7 linked regions of the Oryctolagus cuniculus genome follow. The main gene of each other region encodes a partner of the protein of the gene in region 5 in a complex. Links are inferred from orthologs where the notes say so. Each region holds a gene or a part of one and is shown on either strand. Other genes may lie near its edges. The genes, in order: SRRM2, EFTUD2, PRPF31, ARMC7, SNRPF, LSM5 and SNIP1.

Evidence for each region.
Region 1: SNRPF (region 5) and SRRM2 share a complex: the UniProt entries of both Homo sapiens proteins name them as parts of the minor spliceosome. The link is inferred for Oryctolagus cuniculus from reciprocal best matches to the Homo sapiens genes SNRPF and SRRM2.
Region 2: SNRPF (region 5) and EFTUD2 share a complex: the UniProt entries of both Homo sapiens proteins name them as parts of the minor spliceosome. The link is inferred for Oryctolagus cuniculus from reciprocal best matches to the Homo sapiens genes SNRPF and EFTUD2.
Region 3: SNRPF (region 5) and PRPF31 share a complex: the UniProt entries of both Homo sapiens proteins name them as parts of the U4/U6-U5 tri-snRNP complex. The link is inferred for Oryctolagus cuniculus from reciprocal best matches to the Homo sapiens genes SNRPF and PRPF31.
Region 4: SNRPF (region 5) and ARMC7 share a complex: the UniProt entries of both Homo sapiens proteins name them as parts of the minor spliceosome. The link is inferred for Oryctolagus cuniculus from reciprocal best matches to the Homo sapiens genes SNRPF and ARMC7.
Region 6: SNRPF (region 5) and LSM5 share a complex: the UniProt entries of both Homo sapiens proteins name them as parts of the U4/U6-U5 tri-snRNP complex. The link is inferred for Oryctolagus cuniculus from reciprocal best matches to the Homo sapiens genes SNRPF and LSM5.
Region 7: SNRPF (region 5) and SNIP1 share a complex: the UniProt entries of both Homo sapiens proteins name them as parts of the minor spliceosome. The link is inferred for Oryctolagus cuniculus from reciprocal best matches to the Homo sapiens genes SNRPF and SNIP1.

What each region holds. Positions count from the first base shown.
Region 1 is NC_091450.1:32,562,953-32,566,452, reverse strand, and holds part of SRRM2 (serine/arginine repetitive matrix protein 2), read left to right. Parts: intron 1-685; 5' UTR 686-714; coding exon 715-956; intron 957-1,816; coding exon 1,817-1,924; intron 1,925-2,113; coding exon 2,114-2,278; intron 2,279-2,445; coding exon 2,446-2,523; intron 2,524-3,314; coding exon 3,315-3,377; intron 3,378-3,476; coding exon 3,477-3,500. UniProt on the Homo sapiens protein: Required for pre-mRNA splicing as component of the spliceosome. As a component of the minor spliceosome, involved in the splicing of U12-type introns in pre-mRNAs.
Region 2 is NC_091448.1:18,150,324-18,154,387, reverse strand, and holds the start of EFTUD2 (116 kDa U5 small nuclear ribonucleoprotein component), read left to right. Parts: upstream 1-1,264; 5' UTR 1,265-1,543; intron 1,544-4,064. UniProt on the Homo sapiens protein: Required for pre-mRNA splicing as component of the spliceosome, including pre-catalytic, catalytic and post-catalytic spliceosomal complexes. Component of the U5 snRNP and the U4/U6-U5 tri-snRNP complex, a building block of the spliceosome.
Region 3 is NC_091449.1:4,557,696-4,561,195, reverse strand, and holds part of PRPF31 (U4/U6 small nuclear ribonucleoprotein Prp31), read left to right. Parts: intron 1-1,069; coding exon 1,070-1,159; intron 1,160-2,018; coding exon 2,019-2,146; intron 2,147-2,232; coding exon 2,233-2,305; intron 2,306-2,608; coding exon 2,609-2,737; intron 2,738-2,817; coding exon 2,818-2,916; intron 2,917-3,500. UniProt on the Homo sapiens protein: Involved in pre-mRNA splicing as component of the spliceosome. Required for the assembly of the U4/U5/U6 tri-snRNP complex, one of the building blocks of the spliceosome.
Region 4 is NC_091448.1:5,404,931-5,408,936, forward strand, and holds the start of ARMC7 (armadillo repeat-containing protein 7), read right to left. Parts: upstream 2,801-4,006; 5' UTR 2,605-2,800; coding exon 2,514-2,604; intron 2,028-2,513; coding exon 1,884-2,027; intron 520-1,883; coding exon of another isoform or gene 491-519; exon of another isoform or gene 1-490. UniProt on the Homo sapiens protein: As a component of the minor spliceosome, involved in the splicing of U12-type introns in pre-mRNAs.
Region 5 is NC_091442.1:98,723,836-98,727,924, forward strand, and holds the start of SNRPF (small nuclear ribonucleoprotein F), read left to right. Parts: upstream 1-1,289; 5' UTR 1,290-1,426; coding exon 1,427-1,429; intron 1,430-3,409; coding exon 3,410-3,535; intron 3,536-4,089. UniProt on the Homo sapiens protein: Plays a role in pre-mRNA splicing as a core component of the spliceosomal U1, U2, U4 and U5 small nuclear ribonucleoproteins (snRNPs), the building blocks of the spliceosome.
Region 6 is NC_091447.1:23,533,065-23,537,040, forward strand, and holds the start of LSM5 (U6 snRNA-associated Sm-like protein LSm5), read right to left. Parts: upstream 2,801-3,976; 5' UTR 2,689-2,800; coding exon 2,643-2,688; intron 1,538-2,642; coding exon 1,442-1,537; intron 1,161-1,441; coding exon 1,133-1,160; intron 172-1,132; coding exon 99-171; intron 1-98. UniProt on the Homo sapiens protein: Plays a role in pre-mRNA splicing as component of the U4/U6-U5 tri-snRNP complex that is involved in spliceosome assembly, and as component of the precatalytic spliceosome (spliceosome B complex).
Region 7 is NC_091438.1:135,212,989-135,217,099, forward strand, and holds the start of SNIP1 (smad nuclear-interacting protein 1), read left to right. Parts: upstream 1-1,311; 5' UTR 1,312-1,402; coding exon 1,403-1,626; intron 1,627-2,685; coding exon 2,686-2,788; intron 2,789-4,111. Other genes in the region: DNALI1 (axonemal dynein light intermediate polypeptide 1), read right to left, coding at 1-96, 483-596. UniProt on the Homo sapiens protein: Required for pre-mRNA splicing as component of the spliceosome. As a component of the minor spliceosome, involved in the splicing of U12-type introns in pre-mRNAs. Down-regulates NF-kappa-B signaling by competing with RELA for CREBBP/EP300 binding.

The sequences.
Region 1 (3,500 bases), on a different chromosome or scaffold from region 5:
AGTTGATGGGAGCTATAAATATTTGGAATCAAGAAAATGGCTCTTTCCCTGGGAGGTGAAGTGGAGTAAGATGATGTATCCAAAGTTCGTATTTGTTTCTTATGTGCATGCTAGCTGTTAGTCTGAGTGTGAGGCTGTACCTACCACTTTGGATTTAACTAACTAGCCCCCTTTTCGGTTACCTAGGGGTTGTTTATTCCATCTTGTATTCATACGGGGTAGTCTGAAATCCTTAGGCAGGTTCACGAGGCTTTGGATGTGGATTGGAGGCCCAGTTACCAGAGTTAGGATGTCGAGTAGTTGAAAGTGTCACTTGGATTATCTGTGTGGAAGGAGAGCAAAGGGAGAATGTGGGGAGATTTGAAAGACAATAGAATCAATCCTTTGTGTAGGGTGGAGAAAAGAAAATCTAGGTGCAAGGAAGAATGGTGTAGTAGTCTGTGGAAGAGCATTAGTGGGAAAAGGCCGTGAGAACTGGGCTACGATTTTTATGGAGAGGAAGCAGTGTGGGCAGGATGAGGAGGAGTTTCTTAGACCAGGAGGATGAAGAAGCAACATGCAGTAAGAGATACAGTGTGAGAGGACAGGTGTTGAACTAGGGGTGCAGGAGAGCAGGGATGTGGGTGGTGGTAGGTGGTTAGTTTGGGGCCAGGGGCCTGACCCGTATCTCCCCGCTCCCCCCCAGGAGCGGTGGTGCCCCCCGGGCACAGGGCCATGTACAACGGGATCGGGCTGCCGACGCCCCGGGGCAGCGGCACCAACGGCTACGTCCAGCGCAACCTGTCCCTGGTGCGGGGCCGCCGGGGTGAGCGGCCTGACTACAAGGGAGAGGAGGAACTGCGGCGCCTGGAGGCTGCCCTGGTGAAGCGGCCTAATCCTGACATCCTGGACCACGAGCGCAAGCGGCGCGTGGAGCTGCGATGCCTCGAGCTGGAGGAGATGATGGAAGAGCAGGGGTGAGGGGAGGCCTGGGGGAGAGCCAAGCACTGAATGAGTGCAGAGCTGGATGCTAGGTGGGATGTAGGGAGTAGAGGCCTGGAGAGCACTCGTAGGGGAGGCGATGAATGAGCTAGAGATTGAGGAGTTAAGGGACAGTGCGAAGTGGGAAATGAGGAATTGGGCATAATTAGGAACCTGAGCGAGTCTGGATTTAGATCAAGGTACACGGGGCAATGGGGGCCGTCGAGGAACAAAATACGCTTTGAGGGAGAGTCCAGAAAGCAGAGACCAGGCAGAAGGGCTCGCTGAACTGATCGAGGTGTCATTGATAGAAGAGAGGAAGGTAAACGCTTTAAGGATTGAGGCCTTGGAAAGAGTCAAAGCCAGTAAGACACAAATTGGAAGAATACTTAAGAATTATGAATGAGAGAATTATGGGCTAAGTAGGGAAGTGGCATTTTGGAAAAGAAGCATACTTAGGCAGAAAACCTTTTAGAGCAGTGGTTTTCAAACTTCAGCAGTGGCGCTCCTTTTATATGATATATCTTACTTTGGAATCCTAGGAAATGGAAGACTTTGTTCCACTTTGTTGAAGTTGTAGATGAGCACTTGAAACTCTGCCTGCTTAACTTTCCTCTCTTGGCCCCTGAAGTCTAGTATGTTTAAAATCCACTGTTCTAGAGGGCGTAGAAATAGAGGAGAAAGATGAGAGAAAGGATCAGAAGGACTTAAGAGAAGGGAGTTTAGGGTGACAGAGAGTGAAAAGTTCTGTGTGCATGGAGAAGGAAGGGGCCCTGTGGGGAAAGAGGGAAATGGAGACCCGGGACTGGGTGAAGCGTCCTGGCAGGCTCTAACCCTGAAGGGATTTGTCCTTCAGGTACGAGGAACAACAAATTCAGGAAAAAGTGGCGACCTTTCGACTCATGTTGCTCGAGAAGGATGTGAACCCCGGGGGCAAGGAGGAGACCCCAGGGCAAAGGCCAGCGTGAGTGTTACACTCCCCTTGATTCCTCTGGACTCCATGCTGCTGCTGTCGTCCTCTCCTTCCCTGGGACTTCTGCCCTGCCTTTGTCTGCCTTTTCCAGTGCCTGTGTGGCTCCTGCTTGTTGTGTTCTCAATTTCGTTCTGCATTTCGCTTTCTGTCGCTTTATACTTCTGCCCTTTTCCTCTCTAGGGTAACTGAGACTCACCAGTTGGCAGAATTGAATGAGAAGAAGAATGAGCGACTTCGTGCTGCCTTTGGCATCAGTGATTCCTACGTGGATGGCAGCTCTTTTGATCCTCAGCGTCGTGCTCGAGAGGCTAAACAAGCAGCCCCTGAGCCTCCTAAACCTTACAGGTACTCGAGGCCACGCTAGCAGTATTAGCTCTCTCCCTGATTTCTAGACTTCCTCTCCCTTTGTGGACTGTTTCTTTCCACATTCTAAAAATATTGTTCCTCTTGAGTTAAAACGTTTAAGAAAAGCTTTTTAACATCCAGCTCTGTTTCTTTCCACCTCACCCCAGCCTTGTGCGAGAGTCTAGCAGTTCTCGCTCCCCCACTCCAAAGCAAAAGAAGAAGAAAAAGAAGAAAGACAGAGGACGGTAAGTTACTTGGGAAGTTACTCCAGTAGCCGTAGGCCTGTTCCTGTGATGTTACTTTTTCTCTGGGAGTTGAGAAATCTTGCTTCCAGTAAGCAGGAGACAGCTGTCAAGAAATTCAGAGAAGGGAATGAACCATTCAGATCTCCGCTAGCAGGAGAAATGCAGGTGGCCTCTGTGGGGATGGGTTGAGTCTGCAGCTGTGCCAATTAGGAACTGGCTTGAAGCATTTTTGATTTCTGAAATGTTCTTTTCATTTTTTGGTTTGTTGGTTTAATGAGTTAACATTTTTTAGAAATAAGTGGTGGGCTGGCTAGCGCCGTGGCTCAATAGGCTAATCTTCCGCCTATGGCGCTGGCACACCGGGTTCTAGTCCCGGTCGGGCGCCGGATTCTGTCCCGGTTGCCCCTCTTCCAGGCCAGCTCTCTGCTGTGGCCAGGGAGTGCAGTGGAGGATGGCCCAAGTGCTTGGGCCCTGCACCCCATGGGAGACCAGGAGAAGCACCTGGTTCCTGCCTTCAGATCAGCGCCGTGCGCCGGCCGCAGTGCGCCAGCCGTGGCAGCCATTGGAGGGTGAACCAACAGAAAAGGAAGACCTTTCTCTCTCTCTCTCTCTCTCACTGTCTACTCTGCCTGTCAAAAAAAAAAAAAAAAAAAAAAGGTGGGCTTATATCTGGGGCATAGGTAGATGTTGGGGTTACTCAGATGCTTTTGAAACCTTCTTGGGGTAGATTGTCAGTGGGGCTGTCAGGAAAGAAGTCAAGCCGAATGACCTTGCTTCTGAACTCACTCCAGCAGGTCAGAGAGCAGCTCTCCACGACGGGAGAGAAAGAAGAGCTCGAAGAAGAAGAAGCACAGGTATGAGGTGGCATTCCTTCGAGTGATTGGGAGGAGTTGGCAGAGAGCAGGCGTAGGTGTTGGTTCATGTTTTTTCTCCCCTCCCCCCTTTCCCATTAGATCAGAATCTGAATCAAAGAAACG
Region 2 (4,064 bases), on a different chromosome or scaffold from region 5:
CTGTTGGTTCACTTCCCAAATGCCCACAGCACCAGGTCTAGGCCAGGCTGCAGCTGGGAGCCAGGAATCCAAGTAGCTGGACCTCATCTGCTGCCTCCCAGCTGTCCGAACTCCACCCGGCACTCTGATGTGGGACGTGGGTGTCCCAAGCAGCAGCTTTAACCTGCTGGAGAGTGAACCAGCAGATGGAAGAACTCCCTCTTTTCTCTGTCTCTTTGAATTTAAATAAATTGAAAATAACTAAATATTTAAAGATAATAAGTATTGTTTAAAAATGAATTTATTTTGGTGCAAAAACATTTTGAAATCCATGCAACTTAAAATAATGTTTTATTTATTTGAAATGCAGAGAGAGAGGGAAAGGGAGAGAAGGAGAGGGAGAGAAGGAGAGGGAGAGAGGGAGAGAGGGAGAGAGGGAGAGAGGGAGAGAGGGAGAGGGAGAGGGAGAGGGAGAGGGAGAGAAGGAGAGGGAGAGGGAGAGAAGGAGAGGGAGAGACAGAGAGAGAGATCCTCCATCTAGTCCTTGACTTCCCAAATCGCAGCAACAGCCAGGGCTGGGCCAGGCCGAAATCAGGAGCCTGGAACTGCATCCAGGCCTCCCACGTGGGTGCAGAGCCCAAGCACTTCAGCTTTTCCCAGGTGCACTAGCAGCGAGCTTGAGCCGAAGTGCCCACTGGACCTGCCCTCACCTGAGATGCTGGCGTTGCAGCGGCGGCCTGACTCGCTGCGCCACAACCCCTGCCTCATAGTTTTTTCATAATACACATTTTCATGCACTTTTTGGAGGCACCCTCTATCGTATGCATGGACTTGGAATATCTGCATCGAAATAAGCTTATCTTTTAACTCCATTTCCCACAAGCTTTTCAAGTGCCCGCGTACTTGTGAGACTTCTCTGGGGACACCGAGCAGTCCTGGCAGGGAAGCAGGCGGTCCGCAACTAGCTACCCACACGGACAAACCTAGCGAAGTTGAACGCCAGAACCGACTGGGCTGGCCAGGAGCTGAACTCAGGAGTCCCGGCCCCTGAGCCCTGCAGTCAGCCAATAAGTAGAACTAACCCGTCTGTCCTCCCGACCCAGCCACCCGGACCTTCACCACCGCAGTTCCCGCCTCGGTCCCCTCGCTTTCCTTGGGGACTCCCTGGTGTACTGGAACCAAACGGCGGCTCGGAGCCCACTACGCCCAGCATCCGCGGTTGCCTAGCAACTGCGCCAACGGCCTGCCCACGTGACCTGCCCGAAAGCCCCTTTAGGTGTCCTGGCGGTGCCTGACCCAGTAGTCATGTATGCTCAGGCTTCACTCTCTTTCGAGCAGCCCACGCTTGGGTATGGGATTCACAACTCCACCCGGTCGGCTCCTGTGTCTGCGGTCGGCATTCCTCAGTGCCGGTTCTCAGGCACAGGGCTGTCCTCCGTGGCAGAAACGCGGCCTCGGCGTCTGCGGGGTCCTTCTTGGCTGCGGGCGCAGGCGCTGCAGTGACGCGAGGCGGCCGCGCGGTCTCCGTCGGCGGACTTGGGGTTCTACGCTGAGCAGGGAGGAGGTGAGCTAACGGGGGTCCGTGGCGTGGGAAGGTTATCTGGGCAGGGCGGGAAGTTACAGAGCATCGTATCTGGAAGAGGCATGAGGTGCTGTCTGCCCGTTGCGGATGAGTGAGCTGAGGCCTGGAGCCGGAAGGAGCCCCCAGCCCCATCCCTGAAGTCCCGTTCCTGGGCAGGGTTGAGCTTTCACTGCCGCGTCTCCTCGCTCTCTCATCAGTGCCGCCATCACCTCTTCTCTGCCAGGCTCTTTGTCTTCATTTGGGATTCTTTTTCAGAAGTTAAAATAGCGAGGGGCTGCGGTGAGGTTCGTAACCAGCTGGTGCAACTCAGCTGTCTGTGCGTTGCTGGAGTCGTCCGATCGTGCGTTCAGCACATGCTTGCTGAGGGCCTGTTTTGTGCCAGGCGCTGTCCTAAGTGAACGAGAGACCTTGCTTAAGTTGTAGCGGGAAGAACGAACAGGATGCAAACGAGTAGATTCATGTCTTGATAGGAAAACGGTGAAAGTGAGGGTCGGAGAGCGTGAATGAGGGGCTTTTTAGTGAAAAGAGACTTTGATAAGCTAGAGGGCAAAGTTACGAATACCTCAGGCAAGAGCATTTCAGACAGAATGGCAGGTGCAGTGGCCTTGGGGCTGGGCTTGACTTGTTCCACGAACCGCTCTCTATGGAACTCTCTGCATTTGTTGGCTGGAGGTCTCGGGAGAATGAATGAGCCCAGTTTGATAGCTCTTTGGAAGTAAAAAGAGCCTTTATGCATATGAGATTTTCTCTAATAATGTACACGTAACTACCACTTTTTTTTTTTTAAGATTTATTTATTTATTTGAAAGAGTTACACACAGAGAGAAGCAGAGGCAGAGAGCAAGAGCGAGAGAGAGGGAGATCTTCCATCCACTGGTTCACTCCCCAAGTGGCCACAATGGCTGGAGCTGCACCAATCTGAAGCCAGGAGCCAGGAGTTTCTTCGGGTCTCCCACTTGGGTTCAGAAGCTCAAGGTCTTGGTCCATCTTCCGCTGCTTTCCCAGGCCATAGCAGAGAGCTGGATCAGAAGTGGAGCAGCTGGGACTCAACCTGGTGCCCATATGGGCAGTGCCGGCTTTACCACTGTGCCACAGCGCCAGCCCCGTAACTACCTCTTCTTGGGTTCTCCAATTATGTGTTTTATTTGCAATCAGCACTCAGCAAGTGGCATTGAGGGAGGTTGAGGTATTAGCTCAATGCAAGAAACATCAGTATCAAATATTCCATTCCATTTGCATTTATCCAGTTCCTGCTTACACAGGGTGCTCTAGGGCTTTGGGAGGGGAGCACAATGAGCACAGGTTCTTCTAGTCAAGAATGACCAGAGATAGATGACAGGCATTATAGCACAGTGGGTTGAGACACTGGGAAGGCCACATCCCATGTTGGTGCAGCGGTTCGAGTCCCGGTTTCTCTGCTTGTGTCCCGCTAAGGCATCCTGGGAGGTAGCAGGTTTTGGCACAGGGGCCCCTGCCACTCAGTGGGGGACCTGGATGGAGTTGCAGGGTTTTTATCTAATCCCCAATCATTTTATGCATGAGGTTTCATCACTCCATTTTCCAGTTCAGGAAATGGATGTGCAGAGGTGAAGTAAGACGTACATGGGCTGGCTTTGTGGCTTTGCAGGCAAAGCTGTCTGTGACGCCACTTCATCTCGCGGAGGCTGCTCCACTTCCGATCCAGCTCCCTGCTAATGCCCTGGGGAAAGCAGCAGAGAGAGGATGTTTTGGGACGCTGCTACCCACATGGGAGACTGGATGAAGCTCCTGGCTCCTGGCTTCAGCTTGGCCCAGCCCTGGCCATTGTGGCCATCTGGGGAGTGGATCTGCACTTGGAAGAGCCCTCTGTCTTTCTTTCTGTCCCTGTAACTCTTTCAAATAAATAAATAAATCTTTTTTTTTTTTTTTAAGTTACATAGTTGCTAGTGATGAGTTTGGGATTTGAATCTAGGTCTTCCAGCTCCAGAGGCTTGGTGTTGTGCTCCTGAACTATGGAGTTGTTGAGGGTAATTAGTGCAGTGAACCGCCATCCAGGAAAAAGCTGAACAGTGATGTAAATCCAAAAGACTGCAGCAGCATGGGGGAATAAGAAATTGAGATCTGGGTCAGCGCTGCGGCTCACTAGGCTAATCCTCCGCCTAGCGGCACCGGCACACCAGGTTCTAGTCCCGGTCGGGGCACCGGATTCTTTCCCGGTTGCCCCTCTTCCAGGCCAGCTCTCTGCTGTGGCCAGGGAGTGCAGTGGAGGATGGCCCAGGTGCTTGGGCCCTGCACCCCATGGGAGACCAGGAAAAGCACCTGGCTCCTGGCTCCTGCCATCGAATCAGCGCGGTGCGCCGGCCTCAGCGCACCGGCCGCGGCGGCCATTGGAGGGTGAACCAACGGCAAAGGAAGACCTTTCTCTCTGTCTCTCTCTCTCACTGTCCACTCTGCCTGTCAAAAAAAGAAAAAAAAAAGAAATTGAGATCTAAGAAAGCTTGAAGGAGGTAGCATTTGAATTCTT
Region 3 (3,500 bases), on a different chromosome or scaffold from region 5:
AGCCGCTGCGGGACAGATGGCCTGGCTGTCCCCGGTGCTGGCTCCCGTCCCTCGTGTGGACGGCGTTTCCTGGCCGCGTGCCTCGCCCCGCCCATCACTGTCCTCCAGTCCGCAGGCAGCAGACGGGAACGGATCCCAGGGTGCCAGCAGGCCGCCCAGAATCCCAGGCCCTGGAGCCCGGGCGCTGCCCCCCACCACCTGCGCACTGCTGCCCAGAGCCAGGCCCTCCGCAGGCCACGCTGCTGCCCTGTGGCTGAGGGCCCCTCCCGCCCGTGCTGTTCCAGCTCAGTTCCTGCACAAGCCGAAGACACCACAGCATGGCCCGCTTGGTGGCCGGGAACCTCAGTGTCCACATGTTTTTTAGAAGGTTTTATTTATTTACTTGAGAGGCAGAGTTACAGTCAGAGAGATCTCTCAGCCACTGGTTCACTCCCCAAATGGCTGCCACGGCCAGAGCTGTGCCGATCCAGAGCTGGGAGCCAGGAGCTTCTTCCGGGTCTCCCACGTGGGTGCAGAGGCCCAAGGACTTGGGCCATCTTCCACCGCTTTCCTAGGCCATAGCAGAGAGCTGGATCGGAAGCGGAGCAGCTGGGACACGAACCAGACCCATACGGGATGCCGGCGCCACCGGCAGCCAGAGCCTTAGCCCACTACGCCACAGTGCGGCTGCAGGTTCCACGTCTGCCAAGTGGGGGCGCTGACTGCAGCAGCCTGGTGCTCGAGCATCTGATGAGGGTCCGTGTGCAGGGCGAACCTGCACAGCAGGGTTGAGAACAGGCTGCAGGTGCTCCCCCGGGAACCTCCGCGTCCTCCTCTGGGCTCCGCCCTCAGCCACAGCGACCCCAGCACACGGCTCCTCCGGCCCTGGCCTCCTTCCCACGATGGGAGGGGGCTGTTGGGAGCAGGGGCCGTGTGTGTGTGTGTGTGTGTGTGTGTGTTAGAGAGAGAGAGAGAGGTCCTCGTGTGTGTGTGTGTGTGTGTGTGAGTGAAGCCCCCTCGGGGAGGAGCAGCCCTGTCTCTGTCCATCTGTCCGGCTCACAGACTCCGCGTCCCCCTGCCGTTGCTCTAGGATCTGCGGCGGAAAGCAGCCCGGCTGGTGGCCGCCAAGTGCACGCTGGCAGCCCGCGTGGACAGTTTCCACGAGAGCACGGAGGGGAAGGTGAGGCTCGCTCTGGGGACCCAGCCCAGGAGCACTGCCCTGACGGGGCACACACACCCCTTCCCTGGCTCGGAGCTCCTGTCTGTCTCCAGAGCCAGCCAGGAGCCCCTGCAGACCCCCCCTCCGTCAGGGACCTCGTGACCCCAGGGCGCCCTCCCCACCCCACAACCCCAGCCACACCCCTCTTGCCTTGTGATGTCAGCCGTTCCGGGCCAGGACCTGGGCCCTGCTGGCTCTGTGCTCTCGGCAGCCGCACCTGCCGTCCTGGGCATTGCTGTGTGCCGGCTCCCAGCCCGGCAGTGTTCAGGTGCCCAGCCGCCACCCCTGCACACACGCACACAAAGCCCCGCCTCTGGGGCTCCCACTCCAGTAGGGGCTGGGGCAGCAGCCAGGTGACACTTGCCCCACAAATGCCAAGAAGAAGAACAGCATCTGGGGTGTGAGGGGTCGGCGGGAGGGCTTCTCTGGCCAGGAAGTTCTGCCCTGCACCCGAGTGCAGTCAGCGTCAAGTCCCAGGGCCCCTGGGGGAAGTTCCAGGTGGGACGGTCAGTGCAGGCGGCCTGAGGCTGGAGCCCCCCCAGCCCCCGGGGGGTGAGGCGGTGATGGGGCACCTTCTGTGCCCTCGGGAGGACCTGGCACCTTGGAGGTGCTGAACAGGGGCCTGCGGGACCTGAGGGCGGTGCCGGGAGAGCAGCAGGCATCGCGGGTGTGAGCTGGACGACCGGCCCACCCACTGTCCGGGGCTGAGAGCTTGGTCAAGCAGCAGCTTCAAAGGGCACCCAAGAGCCGCCAAGGCCGTCGGGTGCTGCGGGCTGATGGCCCGTGGTGCAGCCGCCCCCGCCTCCCTGTCCCCCCCCAGGTGGGCTACGAGCTGAAAGACGAGATAGAGCGCAAGTTCGACAAGTGGCAGGAGCCGCCCCCCGTGAAGCAGGTGAAGCCGCTGCCTGCGCCCCTCGATGGGCAGCGGAAGAAGCGAGGCGGCCGCAGGTGAGAGACCCGGGGGGCGCGGGCGGGGGCCTCCGAGAGGAAGAGGCCCGAGCTCTCTGCCCGCGCGTGACCCGCCGCCTTCCCAGGTACCGCAAGATGAAGGAGCGGCTGGGGCTCACGGAGATCCGGAAGCAGGCCAACCGCATGAGCTTCGGGGAGGTGGGCCCCGCCCCTCACCCAGGGCCCCCAGTCCTGCCCCGTCCCCGCCCCCCCCACCCAGGGCCCCTCTGGCTCTCCCCTTCCGCTGCCCACCCTCACCAGGCTCCCAGGACCCAGGCCTACCGGCCTCCCAGGCTCAGCCACACCCGCCCCCTGTGCTCTGAGCATCCTCTGGTCCTGCGGCTGGGCTCAGTGCCCCCAGTGCTGAGACCTGTGCTGCCCTCGCACCCTCTCCCCCCAAGCATGAGAGAGGGCGCTGTGTGCTGAGGGCCCCCACCTGACTGCGGGCACCCCCCCCCCCAGATCGAGGAGGATGCCTACCAGGAGGACCTGGGCTTCAGCCTGGGCCACCTGGGCAAGTCGGGCAGTGGGCGCGTGCGGCAGACGCAGGTGAACGAGGCTACCAAAGCCAGGATCTCCAAGACGCTGCAGGTATGGGCGGGGCCCAGGTGGGGGCGGGGTGAGGGACGGGGGCGGGGCTGCCCCTTCATCCCGTGCCCTCCCACCCACAGCGGACCCTGCAGAAGCAGAGCGTGGTGTACGGCGGGAAGTCCACCATCCGTGACCGCACCTCAGGCACAGCCTCCAGTGTGGCCTTCACGCCCCTGCAGGTACGGCTCGGGCCGCCCCCCACCAGGGCCTGCTGGGGGGGTGGGGGGCAGCCAAGCTCCTTCCCTTTCCCCGCGAGGCAGCGGCACGATGGGGTCCCCTCTCCCTGGCCATGTGGTCCCGGCACAGTAGGTGTGAGGAGGGTGTACAGACCAGCCCCAGACTGAGGCCTGGGGCTGCCCAGTTCCTGGTGCGGGCGACCGCCCCCTCTGGGGCTCCAGGCGGTCACGAGAAAGCTGCCAGGTGGGCTTGGGTTCCCACTTGGGTTCCGTCCGAGCCGCCACACCTGTCCGCGGCTCCGTGCAGTCACCACACGGCAGCGTGCCCCATGGTGATGGGTGACGTCCCCACGCTCCCTTGCCCAGCCAGGGAGTGTCCACTGGGCGCCCACCAAGTCCCAGGAGCGTCGGGCTCTGGGGAGGAGGTGAAGAGCAGAGGAGACAGCGCGGGTCGGTGGGACCGTGGGACACAGGCGCCCGGGCAGCGGGAGCAGGACCCAGAGGCCCTCGTGGGAAGAACCACCGCTGGGCGCGGCTTCGGCCGCAGCCCCCTGGGGCTCTGTTCCCGGGCGGGATGTCGCCTCTGT
Region 4 (4,006 bases), on a different chromosome or scaffold from region 5:
GAGTTACAGAGAGAGAGAGAGAGAGAGAGCGATATCTTCCATCTGCTGGTTCACTCCCCAAATGGCCGCAATAGCTGGAATTGGGCCAATCAGGAGCCAGGAGCCAGGAACTTCTTCTGGGTCTCCCACATGGGTGCAGGGGCCCAAGCACTTGGGCGCTCCTCTGCTGCTTTCTTTCCAGGAGCATTAGCAGGGAGCTGGGTCAGAAGAGGAGCAGCCAGGACTCAAACCGGTGCCCGTAAGAGATGCTGACGCTGCAGGCAGAGACTTAGCATACTACACCACAGTGCTGGCCTCAAATAAATAAACTTATTTTTTAAGATTTATTTTATTTATTTGAAAGACAGAGTTACACAGAGAGGTAGAGACAGAGAGAGAGGTCTTCCGTCTGCTGGTTCACTCCCCAGATGGCCGCAATGGCTGGAGCTGCACCGATCTGAAGCCAGGAGCTTCTTCTGGGTTTCCCACGTGGGTGCAGGGGGGCCGTTTTCTACTGCTTTCCCAGGCCATAGCAGAGAGCTGGATTGGAAGTGGAACAGCCAGGACTAGAATCAACACCCATATGGGATGCTGGCGCTTCAGGCCAGGGCTTTAACCCACTGTGCCACAGCACTGGTCCCCCAAATAAGTAAATTTTTTTTTTTTTTAAAAAAGGGGCTGGCGCTGTGGTGCAGCAGGTTAAAGCCCTGGCCTGCAGCTCCAGCACCCCATATGGGCGCCAGTTCAAGTCCTGGCTGCTTCACTTCTGATCCAACTCCTTGCTGTGGCCTGGGAAAGCAATAGAAGATGGCCCAGGTCCTTGGGCCCCTGCACCCATGTGGGAGACCTGGAAGAAACTCCTGGCTTTGGATCAGCTCAGCTCTGGCTGCTGCGGTCATTTGGGGAGTGAGCCAGCGGATGGAAGACCTCTCTAACTCTTTCAAATAAATAAAATAAATCTTAAAAAAAAAGAAAAGAAAAAAAGGAAAGAAGGAAGGAAGAGAAGAGTACAGTAGAGTGGGGGGAAATATTTTTAAAAATTCATAGAATATGTGCATTATGAAAAAAATTTAATTTTTTTAATTGCACCAAAAACACCCTTATATTTTAACTCCACTTCCCATTAACTTGCTGAAATATCCTTGTATTCACTGGGCAGGCACTGTATGAGGGGTTCAAGTAGTCGGATCCGTGACACTCATGGGGGGGGACCTGGATAGAATTCCTGGCCCCCAGCTTTGGCCTGGACCAGCCCTGACTATTTCTGTCATTTGAGGAGTAAAACAGCAGATGGAAGCTCTGTCTGTCTCTCTGCCTCTCAAATTAATTAATTAATTACAAGTTCATGAAAAAGTCTCACAAAAAAACCTATGTATGGACTTCAAACATTTCTGCACGAGGACAGGGATGAGGGCGCAGTGGGCCAACTGGCGGGAGTCCTGCCTCAAGTCCCAGCTGCTCTGCTTCTGATCCAGCCGGGAAGGCAGTGCTGGGCCCTTGTTGCCCCTGTGGGGACCTGAGGGATGAAGGTCCCGGATCCTGGCCCTGGCCTGGCCTGGCCTAGACCTGGGAGAAGTTGTGGCCATTTGCAGAGCGAACCAGTGGGTGCAATCTCTCAATCTCTCTCTCTCTGCCTTTCAGTAAACGACAAAGACTTTAAAGTCTACATTATCGTCGCATTAAAGATCCACCTCCAAGCTGCTCCCTCCCATTCCCTGTCTGCGATCCCATCTCTAGGCAGAGGGTGGGGCCTGGGTGGGACCCCCGCACTCCCGCACATTAGCTGTGACCTGATGGCCTGTGGGGCGACAAGGGGGGCCCCTAAAGGCCGCTTTGCCGACGACTCCCTTGCAACCCTCCCATCGCGCGGCAGCCCCGCAGGTGTCGGGTCCGGCCCCCCTTACCCATAGCGAACTCCACCAGGGTCTCGTTCTCCTCCGACAGCGAGTCCAGGAACAAATCCGGGACCTGAAGCTGCCGCAGGTACTGGAAGTTGCTGGGGTCATAGGCGAAGTTGGCCAGGTTGGCGAGGACCTGCTCCTTGGCGTCTGCAACGGGAAAGCGACCCTGGAGCCGGTCCCGGGCGGCGGCCCCGCGCCGGCCCACCCGCGGCCTCCCCTCGGCTCGCGGCGCCCACCCGCGGCCCTCCCCTCGGCCCCCGCGCCGGCGCCCACCCGCGACCCTCCCCTCGGCTCGCGCCGGCCCACCCGCGGCCTCCCCTCGGCTCTCGGCGCCCACCCGCGGCCCTCCCCTCGGCTCTCGGCGCCCACCCGCGGCCTCCCCTCGGCTCTCCCCTCGGCGCCCACCCGCGGCCCTCCCCTCGGCTCGCGGCCCTCCCCTCAGCTCTCCCCTCGGCTCGCGGCGGCGCCCACCCGCGGCCTCCCCTCGGCTCTCCCCTCGGCTCGCGGCGGCGCCCACCCGCGGCTCTCCCCTCGGCGCCCACCCGCGGCTCTCCCCTCGGCTCGCGGCGCCCACCCGCGCCCTCCCCTCGGCTCTCCCCTCGGCTCGCGGCGGCGCCCACCCGCGGCTCTCACCTTTGCTCGCGGTCTCCTGGAATTCCGTGACGAGCGCCTGCAGGTATCCCAGCCGCCCGACGTGGGGGTCCACCTTGGGCTTCTGGGCCATGGCGGGGCGGCCGAGCGCTCCTGGGCCCGGTGGGACAAGGGCAGAAGGCAGCCTGGACAGCCGCGTGAGACCCTCACCGCAGCGGCCGGGGGGCTCAGGTCCTGCGAGAATCCGCAGCTCGAAACGGCAAGTGGGAGGCGGGACCCTCAGGATCCTGTCAGAGTCCCGGCCGGAAGCCGCGCTAGTCCCGCCCCCGGAGGGCGGAAGGGGCGGGGCGGGGAGAGACGGGGCGGGGCGAGGCGAGAAGGGGCGGGGCCGTCACGGAGCTCTTCGGCTCGCGTGCGCAATGAGCTCCGGGCCCGCGGGGACGCGCGCGGCAGACAGGTGCGCGGTCGGGTATGCGGCGAGGAGCCGGGGCGACCCAGGAGTGCCGCAGAATCTGGGGGTGCCCACATAGGGGGCTGTCGAGGCAGACGCACACTCCCCACACCCGCTGGCGGTCGCAGCCCAGCCTTCTCCCCTAGACGTCCCCCTGGAGCCTCAGCGTCGGCTCCCTGCGACCCTTCAGGATTTCAAGTCCGGCCGACTCCGCTCTGACCCCATTGGGGCCCTCCACCTCTGACCCGAAGTCCCGAGGACTGGGGTCCTGCCCTAAGCCTCTGACAGCTGGGTTGTCCCGGGCAGCACCGGAGGGCCCTGGAAGGAGCCTCAGCTCGCCCCTGTGGACCGCTGCAGCTTTCTGCGTTGTTGGGCCCGGGATCCTGAAGCCCTTTGGTCTGACTCCTCGGAGCTTCTCAGGAGAGAACAGCACCAGGAAAGGAGGCCTTGCCACATCCCCATGGTGCTTGGAGCTGTGAGCTCCTGGGGCCAAGGAATGTGGCTGCATCCCTGGGCCAAGTACAGCTGCGGTGGACGCAGGCTGCAGCCCTGCCCTATGCACACCTTCTTCTTCTTTAAAGGTTTATTTTATTTATTTGAAAGACAGAGTTAGAGAGAGAGGTAGAGACAGAGAGAGAGAGAGGTCTTCCATCTGCTGGTTCACTCCCCAGATGGCCGCAACGGCCGGAGCTGTGCCGATCCGAAGCCAGGAGCCAGGAGTTTCTTCTGGGTCTCCCGTGTGGGTGCAGGGGCCTAGGGACTTGGGCCATCTTCCTCTGCTTTCCCAGGCACATTAGCAGGGAGCTGGGTTGGAAGTGGAGGAGCTGGGACACGAACCGGCACCCACATGGGATGCCGACACTATAGGCCGTGGATTTAACCAGTTGTGCCACAGCGCCATTCTGACCTTGGCCTTGGTGCTTGGGTACCATAGCTGCCCTTTGTCCTTTGACTCTGTGGGGATCCTGGATGGCCTGGGAAAGTGTGTCTTAGCCAGGGGACTTCCCGCCTGTTGCTGGACAGAGCAGCGAAGGCCTGGGGACCAGGAGCCTGGGGCTTGAGGGCACACGGAGGTGAGCTCCTC
Region 5 (4,089 bases):
AGAAAGCAGTTTTGGGGTTAAAATCCAGCTACGTGCCTCTGGGCAAGTTCTCTGCCAAGTCTGTTTTTCTCATCTCAGCTGTAACTTCAGATCACACTGTGTGATTTCTATAATAATTGGGAAAGAGCCGGACATAAAGTTAGGAACTAAAGATTATAGCAAAGTTAAAGATGCAGGGGTGTAACATCTGGCATAGCGCCTAAGACGCCCACATCCCAGATGGGAGTGTCTGGCTTGGAGTCCCCGCTGGGTTTCTGACCCAGCTTCCTGCTAATGCACCCTGGGAGGCAGCAGGTGATGGCTCAAGTAGTTTGGGTCCCTTCCACTCACTTGGGAGTTCCCAGCCCCCGGCTTCAGCCTGGCTTGTTGCGGGTGTTTGGGGAGTTGAGCCAGTAGGTCCAAGAGCGTGTACGCTCTCTGTCTCGCTCTCGCTCTCTCATAAAGAAAATTAAGAATTTTTTTTCTTAAAAGCTGAAGATCCACGACACGATGACTAACCAGAAAAAACCCAGTGCACTTTGGGGTAAATAATTCTAACAGCTATTCGGTCTACACCACACTGATGATCACCCTGACTTGCTGCTCATCATTTAAACCGACAACACGTAAGTCACAGCGAGCATCTCCTGAAAGCTCAAGTCCAAACGCATCTTCTGGGGGGTGTCCAGCAGCAGGCGGTCCTCCTCCAAGCGCCAGTTCTCCGAGATCTGCATTCAGCACCTCCCATCCGGGCTAGTCCAGCGTCGGTCGCGCGGAGAGGGGCTGGCGGCTGCGTCGCGGGCACCGATCAGCCCGTGCTGCCGCAGGTGCTCCCCAGGCCGGCGGGGCCGGGGGCCCGCGGGCAACGCCCCGGGGGAGGTCCTGGCTCCTAGTCTGCAAAGAATTCTGCCGCGGCCCCTCCGTTTCACCTCCCCGCCTCCAGGCCCGCTCCTCTCATTTCCTCTTAGAACGCTGAAACGGGTGCTACCGAATAGACAACCTTCAGGTCGAAGGGGGCTGTGGCAGAGGCGCCCCCAAATCGCGGTACCCGGGGACCTGAGAGCCCCGAACGCGTTCTCACCGTTGTAAACTAACAAAGCGACCCCCCATTAGCCAAGCTGCCGAGAAATCACGTGTGCGCCACAGGGTACGCGGCCTCTCACAGCCGGTTCTTCAAGGCAGGGGAGAAGACTAGTAACGCCGAACGCGTCTCTGGTTGCTGGGAGACACGGCTGCGCCATCTCCTCCAATCAGCACACGCCTCTTTTTGACCAATCATAGAAGGCGAAAGAGCGGTGGTGGGAGGTGAAAGGTCAAGCTGAGGTTTGGCGGCCATTTCTCTTGCAACTTCGGAGGTCTGGGCCTTGGGGGAAGCTGCTCCGAGCACGCGGGACGGGCTGTATCTGCGTCGGCGGCGTCTAATCCGCAACGTTAGCCCGAAGTCGTGATGGTAAGGAGAGGGAGGACTGCTGGAGTCGCGAGACGGAGAGGGCGGGAAGGCAACTTCGGGCTGGCTGAGCCTGGTGGCGGCTTCGCGCCTTTCCCATTCATCCGCGAGGCGCAGCGCACCGGGGCGCCAGTCTGCGGGTTCCGCGGACGCGCGCGAGTCCCTTCCTGGCTGGGACGACCCTCGCCTCCTGCTGCCTCTTCTTTCTGAGTCCAGGGAAGAAAGAGGTAGTCGGGGTGGATGTAGCAAACGCTGAAGCGGTTTGCGTTTCCCACTTCGTCGCACTCATGAAGCCGCTTTTATTCCGTCGGTGATGTTTCTCCAGCCCGCCTTGGCCCAGGCCCCGGAGCGTTCGTGTATTCGTTCTGACGCTTATTGAGCGCCGGCGACTTGGCCAGGTTGAGTCTTGGGCTCCAGGACTAGAGACTGAGAAGTGCCCATGCGGACCCTGCACCGGCCGAGCTGGGCGGGGTGTGAGAGACAGACGTCCGTCAGGCGCTGTTCACCGAAATGGGCACCGGCCTAGACGGGAGCGGGCGGGAGGCTGCGGCCCCGGGGCGCTGGGGCGCCTTCCGCGGCTGCCCCCGGAGGGGGGCTTTCACCCGAGCCCGGGTGACAGGAAATGGGGCTCCGGAACGATGAGGGAGGGACAGCTACACTCGTGGTGGGTGTTGGCCGAAAGCGGCCACCGCTTGCGAGAGCGCCAGGACCTGGGCAGCGTGTGGAGGGTCTACCCCGGCGCCCTCGGCAGCCGTCGGAGCTTTCTCATCAGGCCCGATGGGATGCGCTCTGGCACACGTCGTAGCGGCTGTGTGCTCGCTGCGCCCGAGAAGTGGGGAGCTGGGGGCCGTTAGGCGGTTATTGCGGGTGGAGCCCTCCTACTTTTCCCGCGATTTAGTAGCGGTGTCTGGGTTCTTCCTCGGGGTGAGGAGGTGAGCGCGGAGAGACTCGGTTCGCCGGCGATGCACCGGTCGGGTGAGGACCGAGCCCTGCCGAGCTTGGTCCTGCCCCGAGTGGGATGCTGACCGTACTGCTTGTTCTCGGGATGACGCGCGCAAGCGCACACATACACACGGTCATTCCAGATGGGAAGCCTCCCTGGCCTCCAGCGGTCCCCTTTCCCTCTGGAATAGACTTCACCCTTTAAAACGGAGGCATTGCTCCTACCAGGCAGCCCGTTCCTGTCTTTTTTCCTGAGTTGGTTGGGCCTTTCTGCATAGCATCGCTCTTACTGCTTTGCAATATAATTGTCTGTATGTCTGCAGCGCCACACCCCCACCCTGGCTTCTTAAGGACAGAGCCTCGTTACACGTTTGTTGTAGGGCTTTCATCTTTGTTTCCTTAGAGCTTGCGACACTGAGGACTGCAGGTGCCGCTTGTCTCCTAAGTGCAGCGTGAACACTTATTTTTTTGTGATGGGTTGAAGACGAAATGGGATAACTGGTTAAATTTCCCAGATGCTAGCCGGCGCCGTGGCTCACTAGGCTAATCCTCCACCTTGCGGCGCTGGCACACCGGGTTCTAGTCCCGGTTGGGGCGCCGGATTCTGTCCCGGTTGCCCCTCTTCCAGGCCAGCTCTCTGCTGTGGCCCGGGAGTGCAGTGGAGGATGGCCCAAGTGCTTGGGCCCTGCACCCCATGGGAGACCAGGAAAAGCACCTGGATCCTGGCTCCTGCCATCAGATCGGTGCGCCGGCTGCAGCGGCGGCCATTGGAGGGTGAACCAACGGCAAAGGAAGACCTTTCTCTCTCTGTCTCTCTCTCACTGTCCACTCTGCCTGTCAAAAAAAAAAAAAAAATTTCCCAGATGCTCTTCAACAAACAAAAGTGGAAATTAGGTAGTAGAGTGATAGGGAGTGAAGAGTTTGCTTCATTTGGATGTTACAAAATATTGATTGGTGGATTGGTAGAGGAGAGTGAGGAGTGGAAGCCAAGTTAAGGAAAAAAAAAAATCAATGGATTTTTTGTTTGTTTGTTTTGTGCAGAGTTTACCCCTCAATCCCAAACCTTTCCTCAATGGATTAACAGGGAAGCCCGTGATGGTGAAACTCAAGTGGGGAATGGAGTACAAGGGCTACCTGGTGTCTGTAGACGGCTATATGAACATGCAGGTAAGCTAGAGGTGAAAGGGTGGTGACACTGTGTTTCTTCTGTTCCACTTTATTCCTCCAAGGTTTCGTGTGACTAATAATTCATACAGTTGGCAAAGATAGAACAAAATTCAGGAATGAAGTCAAGGCCAGGGAGGATGTTACAACTGATAGACTAGGTACAAGACACGGGGTTAGGCCAGGATTCACAGACCTTACTCGTGGTGGGTAAAGTGAGGAGGACTCAGGCATTTGATTATTCATATAATAAGGGAAATACATGAGTTGCTTTCAAAAGCAAACCTTTTTCCAGCGCTTAAATCTGATATTTTTCAAGTGAAATTCTTGTCTCTTAATGAATGCTAAAGGCACAACATTAATGTAATCAACTAGAAGCATTTCTTCAGAGGGAAGACAGATTAGCTGAAAGAATTGATGAACTATGTTGGTTAAACTAGTTGTAAATGATTTTGCCAGTGAGGGGGGGGATTTGGTGTGAATTTTTTTATTGTGATAAAATATACATAAAAATTTGGCCACTTTAACCATTTTTAAAGATGTCACTCAGTAATAGT
Region 6 (3,976 bases), on a different chromosome or scaffold from region 5:
TAAGCACCACCAAGCCACGGCATGAGTGAAGCAACCGGCAACATTACTAGTTAGGTCTGTAAGCCCTGTCCCACAGAAACAGTTTTAACGTGTCTTACCATTGTTATATTATTTCCATTTAGCAAAATCTGATCTAATTTAGTGATCCTTCTTCCTTCCGGTGTGATTTCACTAAATGAAGTGATAAAACAGAAAGTCAGGATAAATGGTGGTAACCAAAGGCAGCATTTTAGAAACACCTTCTCTCTCTAAAAAGGTAATGTTTGTATAAACGAAAGTTCAGCAATTATAAAGGTGATTTTCAGAGATAAAAGTTATCCACTGGGTAATGTACACTCTTCATCAAAAGCAAGAGTAGACCAATGGATATAAATAAGATCCATAGCCAAGGGGGCTGGCACTGTGGCTCAGCAAGTTAAACTGCTGCCTGCAGTGCTGCATCCCATACAGGCACTGGTTTGAGTCCTGGCTGCTCCACTTCCAGTCCAGCTCCCTGCTGATGTGCCTGGGGAGGCAACAGAGGGTGGACCAAGTGCTTGAACCCCTGAACAGATGTGGGAGACCTGGGGAAAGCTCATGGCTCCTGGCTTCAGCCTGGCCCAGCCCTGGCATTGCAGCCCTTTGGGGGAGTAAACCAGCGAATGGAGGATCTCCCTCCTTCCCTCTCTTTCTTTCTCTCTGTAACCTGGCTTTTGAATAAATAAAGCTTTAAAAAAGATTCACAGCCATGAGACTTATCTTCAAAAAAAAAAAAAAAAAAGGTGGAACCTGCCAAGATCAAATATAAAATATTTAGTAGACTCACTCTTTAACATTTTGTATTACTACTGATTTCTACCCACTAAACTACTATGTAACTAATACTTATCACTTACATTTTACATTATATAGTTAAATGTTTTCATCATCAGGTCCTTGATATGACCTGAGCCTTAAAATCCCTGCACGTTAACATCTGTTACCTTCAAGCTTTGTCTCCACTAATTTCCTAGCAATTCAGCAACAATTACATAACTTTTACAAGCATTAGTAAATAAAAGTTGCCTCTACTTCCATTTTGCTGACTAAACAGTACTTAAAATGTCCTGAATTTGAAAAAGAGCCGAGTTCTGTCATTTTTAGCACTACTCACAATTCAGTGACATCTTCCAATACCATATCTGAAAGGTGGTGTTAAGGAAATAAACACTCCAGGTTGAAACAACTCTGGTTTCTGCTTTCATTCAGTTGTAATGATAATATTTAACACAAAGGCTCATAATAAAAAGGCTGACTGTTGGTAGGAATGTGACCTTCTTCCAGTATACTCACCTCTGAAAACACCATCACAAGTGCCCTGAGATGAACTGACTTTTATCGTTAACACCCAGAAACACACTGTCTACGGTTCTGTTATTAAATAAACAGGAAAAAGCCACAGCACCACGTTTTAAAAGGATACTGACGAAGTCATCGAAGCCAAGAAGGGTGCCAACAATTTCCTTATCACTCTTCATCACAATGTGAATTCTGGATCCTATACATTTATCCACAAGCTCTGCGTGAGCAAAAAGATTATTTTACCCATTCATCATTTTAGCACATACTCGAGTGCACGCTGGCATTTGTTACTTGCCAAATTCAGTGAAAATTAAACTAGGAAGAACATCCCCCTTTGGTAACCTCGGATCTTAAAATGCAAACCTCTGCGCTCCCACTACTTAATCAGAAGCCTTTCCACTTCTCCTTTCTGTGCAGCAATCTATCATGATTGTGGCTTTATCTTTATTCCAGATCACGTGATTAATTTAGGGACACAAACACATCCCCCCAGACTCTTAAGCGCCACGAGCCCGGACACTGTGCTCATTTTCGCCCATCGCTGGATCTTCAGTGGACAGGGACGGGCATTTACGGGGCTTTCCACGAGCCTAATCACTGAAGTCCGTCAACGCAACCACTCCTCGCCGGCTACACAATGTCAGAGGCCGCTGACCGTCGTCGCGGGAGCCTCCTGTCACCTCCTCCCTCGCCAGTGAAGCCCCGCGGTGCTGGGGGCAGCTTCAGCACCTCTGGCCAGCCTGGCACGGGGGGCACAAGGTTTACTTGTCCAGTACTGTCTCCTCCACTGGCTTGTGTACCCTTCGGGAGCGATGGCTGTGGTTTAAGGTCGCTGTGGACTAGCACGCAGGAAGAACACGGGCTCTTACTGAATGGATGGATGAATGAATGAATGAATGGCAAACAGGGCTAGTTTCCAGATTCCTCCTCTAAGGCTCGTTCCACAGCGCGCTGCTTCCCGCTCAACTCCCAGACACACAACAGGGTGAACCCCATCTGGGGATCCCAAATGCCACTCCGGACACGGCGCCGCAGCGCTCCCAACAAACACGGCCGACGGTGCGCTCGCCCAGTGCGGCCCTCTCCCGCCCACGGTTCGTTCCGGGGGAGTCCGAGGAGCTGCCTCCAGGGGCAGGAGCACGTTACATCGCAGCAGCGGCCTGGCGCGCAGGAGCTCGGGAGCCGGCGCGAGCCGCGGAGGGGAAACGCTCGGCCCCACACATAGGCCCGCTACCAGCCAGGGGTGCCTCGGCCGCAACCCCGCGGCCCCCAGTCCTGAACCCCAGCCTCCCGCCCCAGCTCCCTCACAGGAAAACCATTACCTAGCGGCAGCAGCTGCGAGGGGTTCGTAGTAGCGTTAGCCGCCATGGCTACGCCGGAAGTGGCCTGCGTCCATCGACGTTCCACGGTGACTTTAAAAGAGCGCGCCTGCGCCTTTGCCCGCGGCCGGGCAGGCTCGACCAATCGCAGGCCGAGCGGGCGGCCGGCGTGCTCCACGTGGGCGGCGCCCGCGCGCTGCCTTGCTGGGGAGTGGGAGTCCTGGGGTGCTGCCCTGCAGATTCGTTCCCAGGCTTCGGAGAGACGCTGAAGATTGCTAACCTCCTGAAGGAGTTCGTCCTCCGACCGAGAGGACAGCGCATAAGGAAACTTTTGGCTTGTTTTCCCATAAAATTGTCTTTATAAAGACTAGTAAAAATCAGTATTTCCCGCCACCAATTCACTCTTTGACAGAGTTACAGTGAGAGAGACAGAGAGAGGTCTTCCGTCCGCTGGTTCACTCCCCAAATGGCCCCAACGGCCGGAGCTGGGCCGATCCGAAGCCAGGAGCCAGGAGCCTTCCCTGGGTCTCCCACGCCGGTGCAGGGGCCCAAGGACTTGGACCATCTTCCACTGCTATCCCAGGCCATAGCAGAGAGCTGGATCGGAAGAGGAGCATCTGGGAATACAACTGGTGCCCTTATGGGATGCCAGCACTGCAGGCGGAGGATTAACCTAGTGTGCCACAGCACCGGCCCCAAAAACATTCCTTTTCTTGAGGCTTCTGTCCCGGTTGCTCCTCTTCCAGTCCAGCTCTCTGCTGTGGCCAGGGAGTGCAGTGGAGTATGGCCCAAGTGCTTGGGCCCTGCACCAGCATGGGAGACCAGGAGAAGCACCTGGCTCCTGGCTTCAGATCAGCGTGGTGCACCTGCCGCAGTGCGCTGGCAGCAGCGGCCATTAAGGGGTGAACCAACGGATAAAGGAAGACCTTTCTCTGTCTCTCTCTCTCACTGTCCACTCTGCCTGTCAAAAAAAAAAAAAAAAAAAAGTAAAAGAGGGGCCAGCGCTGTGGCGTAGCAGGTAAAGGCTGCCTACAATGCCGACATCCCATATGGACTCCGGTTCAAGACCAACTGCTCCTCTTCCAATCCAGCTCTCTGCTGTGGCCTGGGAAAGCAGTAGAAGATGGCCCAAGTCCTTGGGCCCTGCACCTTTGTGGGAGACCTGGAAGAAGCTCCTGGCTCCTGGGTTCGGATCAGCACAGCTCCAACCCTTGTGGTCATCTGGGGAGTGAACCAGTGGATAGTGCCTCTTCCTCTCTGTAGTTCTGCCTTTCAAATAAATAAGTAAATCTTTTTTTTTCAAAATGGTTTACACATTTTTTTTTAAATGTAAAATT
Region 7 (4,111 bases), on a different chromosome or scaffold from region 5:
TGGGACACAGGAAGTTGAGGGGAGCTTGGTCTTGGTTATCTGTGGGATTGGACTGGAGGGTCCCGGCTGCTGGGGGCTGGCTTTCAGTGGCCGAGCCTGGGAAGAGACGATTCAGGCCTTCAGCCCCCTGGACGCCTCCGGGTCTTGCGCACCCCCTCCCCTACCCCCAGCCCGTGAAGAGTCCCTGGTCCCAACGCAATGCGCGGACCAGTGTTTCTGGAGGAAGCGGTCAGGCGTCTGCGCTCCCACCTGTAGCGGTGGGGACATCGCGACCTGACCTGTCCTTGAACCCGACTACCGGGAGAGGAATCCCTACCGTCTGTCTCCCCGCGACCAGGTCTAACCTGCGGCGCTCACACCCAGCGACATCTGGACCACCCGGACCACTCGCTCCCTCTCCGCCCGTCCCAGGGCCCGTCCCCGGACTCCGGACTCTCGCCGCGGGGATCTGCCTGGCCCGGTCCCCCGAGGCCCGTCCTCACTTTGGGGCTCCGTTTCTCCGTGTTCCGGCTCACCAACACCGGGGTGTCGTACTTGAGCAGAGAGTCGGCCGGGGGGATCATGGCGGCGATGGGGGCCTGGTTTGCGGTCACCATGGAAACCGCCCCCCCTCCCGGCCGGGGCGGGGCCTCGGGTGGGCGTGGCGCGGCGCGCGGACGCGTCCCGCGCAGCCCTGGCGCTCGGCCCCGGCACTCGGCGTCTTAATCTTGCTGCCAGCCGGGTCGCCCGGGAGACGGGGGTTCGAGTCCCTGCGCTGCGTATAGCGCGCAACTTGCGTGATTGGGTAGATCCCCCTTCGCTGAGCCCCAAGATTGTCACCTCAGTGAAGGGCTGGAGACCATTCCCCAAAAGAGGGTCTCTGGAATCCCCAGGGCTTTAAAAAGTATTCCTCAAGGTTAAATGGCGAACTGACATAGCAGGATTTGTCCACGGGCTACTATGATTGCATTTTTGTATTTCCAAGGCCAAATGGAATCACGGTTGGCGCGCAGTTTCGTCGCCTTCCTCTACCGTGTCGGTCCGGGCTTTTTCCACAAAGCGGTATATGGTTCGTGATAACGTTACTAATAGCTACGTAATGCCCAGTGATTGGCTAAGGAGCCCCCTACAGCTGTACACTGAGGTTGCCCACATGCTCTGTAGTTACGCGGTGAAGAATTAACTTGAGAGGTTCGCTTTTCCCCAGTAGTTTGCTTTCCAAACTTAAAACTCCCGCCCTTCGGGCCGGCTCCCTGCAGCCCCGCCCACGGGGGGGGCGCCGTCACATGTTCAGCGCTCCGCCGCGAGGGTTGCTGGGAGAGCTCACACCCCGGAAGCGGAAGTCCAGAGGTCAAGCTCGTCATTTCCTTCGGAGAGAGTGGCTCAACGGACCTCTTTTCTTTTGCCCGACCCGAGTCGCAGAATGAAAGAGGTGAAGAGCGAGCGGGAGCGGAGGAGCCGGCGGAGGCACCGGGAGGGGGACGTGGCGGCGGCGGCGGCGGCGGTGGTGGTGAAGCAGGAGCGCCTCAGCCCGGAAGCCGAGCCGCCCGCCCCCCGCCGGCCGGACCTCGGCGCTACTCCGTCCCCGCCGGCCGGCGAGCCGGGCCGCCCTGGCCACCGCGGGAGCAGAGCCCGGGGAGAGAGCCGGTAAGCAGAGAACAGCCGGGGTGGACCTTGGGTCGGACTCATTGAGAAAAGAGCACAGGGCCGGCATCAGAAGTGGGTTCTGAATGCCGAGCCCAGCAGCGGGAGGCGGTGGGAGTGGCCGGGTCGCGCTCGGGTAAAGGCGTGTGTGCTCCGGTGCTGGTTACTTGCGTGACAGCTGGGGTCGAGCTGATGCCTGTGGGTCAGGGCCTCGCCCCCTCTTTCGTGTGTCGCCAGCACTTCGCGGAGCGCGTGGCCCAGCGGCTAGCACTCATCGTCCGTTAAGTTGAAAGATTTTCCCCCCGTCTGCCCGCGCAGGGAGTGCGGGCGTTGTCTTCGCCCTTATCCACCCCACGCGAGTATAAGCGATCTGCTAGGTGCACTGTTTGTTCATCGTTCAGCGTACTTTTACTGAATGCCTATAGGGTACTAAAGAGTGCACTAGGGACCTGGGCCACACGGGTGAGGCTTTCGTGAAATTGGACGAGCTTGAGCCCCAGGAAGACTGCCAACATGCAAACAAAACAGTTTCCGATGGCAACAGGTCTCAGGGCTAGGTCGGCCCAGTAAGGTGATCGTGAGAGACTGGAAGGAAGCGGGGATAGAACTCTTTGAAAGAGGTGCCGTTTGAGCAGAGACCTGAGTGATCTGGCCGCCGAGGAAACGTGCAAGGAACGTGAGCTAGAAGTCGTGATCGTGGAGGAGGAGGAGGATGGTAGCGATGAGGTGGGCCGGGGAGGAGGTGCCTCCCGTGAATTGTGGTGATGAGAGTGACTTCTGCATGGTGGTGGGCGAACAGCCAAGGGACAGACCTGGACAGGAGAGTCTTCAAAGGGTAGGGGATGGAGAGCCGTGTTCCCTGAGTGAGGAGGATCCGAGGCTCCGAGGCAGCGGCGTAGGCGGGAGAGTAGGTGAGGAACGGGAAGCCCCCCGGCTCCTTTGGTGTGATCAGCAGTCTTTCACAAATGTGTTTGTGTTAGTAGGTAAGCCCCATACCAGAAGCTAGCTTATGTGGGGGAAGGGAAACTGAGATAAAATCCTGTGTGTACCATGCCCTGAAAGGTCTCCAGCCAAAAAGAAAAACAAGTCCTCGGGGAGAAGAAGCAAGTCTCCTCGGAGCAAGAGAAGTCGGAGTCCTCACCACTCGGCAGTCAAAGTGAAGCAGGTAAGTGGGCTGGGGTGTGTTGAGGTGGGGTCTTAGGCCAGCGCCTCTTCCTGCCACCGCAGCCAGGGAAACAGCCAGCCAGAAGCACACCCACAGAGACAGCACCTACACCTGCAGCGGGCTTTTCTGAAAACTGAGTGTGTGAGTTTGTTTTGGTTGTTGGTAAATTTCTGCTGGTTTTCTTAAGCTTTTTTATTTTGAGATAATTACTGATTTAGATCAGATTTAATAAAGACAGGTGTTTCTCCCAATGGAAGCATGGTACAGAAGTGTAGTCACAATATCACAATCAAAATATTGGCATAAGTTACAAAACGTTTTTCCTGCCACCTGGACATGGCATGTTGTCCTGTTATAGCACACCCACTTCTTTCCCACCTTCTCCCTTCCATAAGTCCTGGCAACTTTTAATCTGTTGGCTTAATTTTGTCATGTGTCAAGAATGTTACAGGCCGGCGTCACGGCTCACTTGGCTAATCCTCCGCCTGCGGCACTCGGTACACCGGGTTCTAGTCCCGGTCAGGGCCCCGGATTCTGTCCTGGTTGCCCCTCTTCCAGGCCAGCTCTCTGCTGTGGCCCGGGAGTGCAGTGGAGGATGGCCCAAGTGCTTGGGCCCTGCACCCGCATGGGAGACCAGGAGAAGCACCTGGTTCCTGCTTTCGGATCAGCGCGGTGTAGCGGCCATTAGAGGGTGAACCAACGGCAAAAGAAGACCTTTCTCTCTGTCTCTCTTACTGTCCACTCTGCCTGTCAAAAAAAAAAAAAAGTTACATAAGCGGCATCACACACCATGTAACCTTTGGGACTGGCTTTTTTCACTCAGCAAAGTTCTTTGGCATGTAGGTTGTTGCATTGATCAGTTCATTCCTTCTTCTTGAGTGGTATCTGTAGTATTAGTTTAGCCGTTTGTCCATTAAAGAACATCTAGGTTTCCAGTTTTTGACTCTTACACATAAAACTGCTGTATAAACATTTGTGAACAGGTTTTATGTGAACATAAGATTTCATTTCTTTGGGATAAATGCCCAGGAGTATAGTATATAGTATAGTATAGCATATATAGTATATATGCTATATATTATACTATAGTATAGTATAGTAGTTGCATGTTTAATTTTTAAAGAAATTGTTTATTTTCCATAGTGGCTGTGTTCGTTTGCTAGGACTGCCATAACGAAATACAGACTAGGTCGCTTAAATGTTAGAAACTTATTTTCTCGTTATTCTGAAGTCTAGAATTTGAAGAATAAGGTGTCAAATAAGGTGTCAGGTTTAGTTTCACCTGTGTGGGGGTAGGGAACTGCTTTTTGGCTTGCAGGTGGT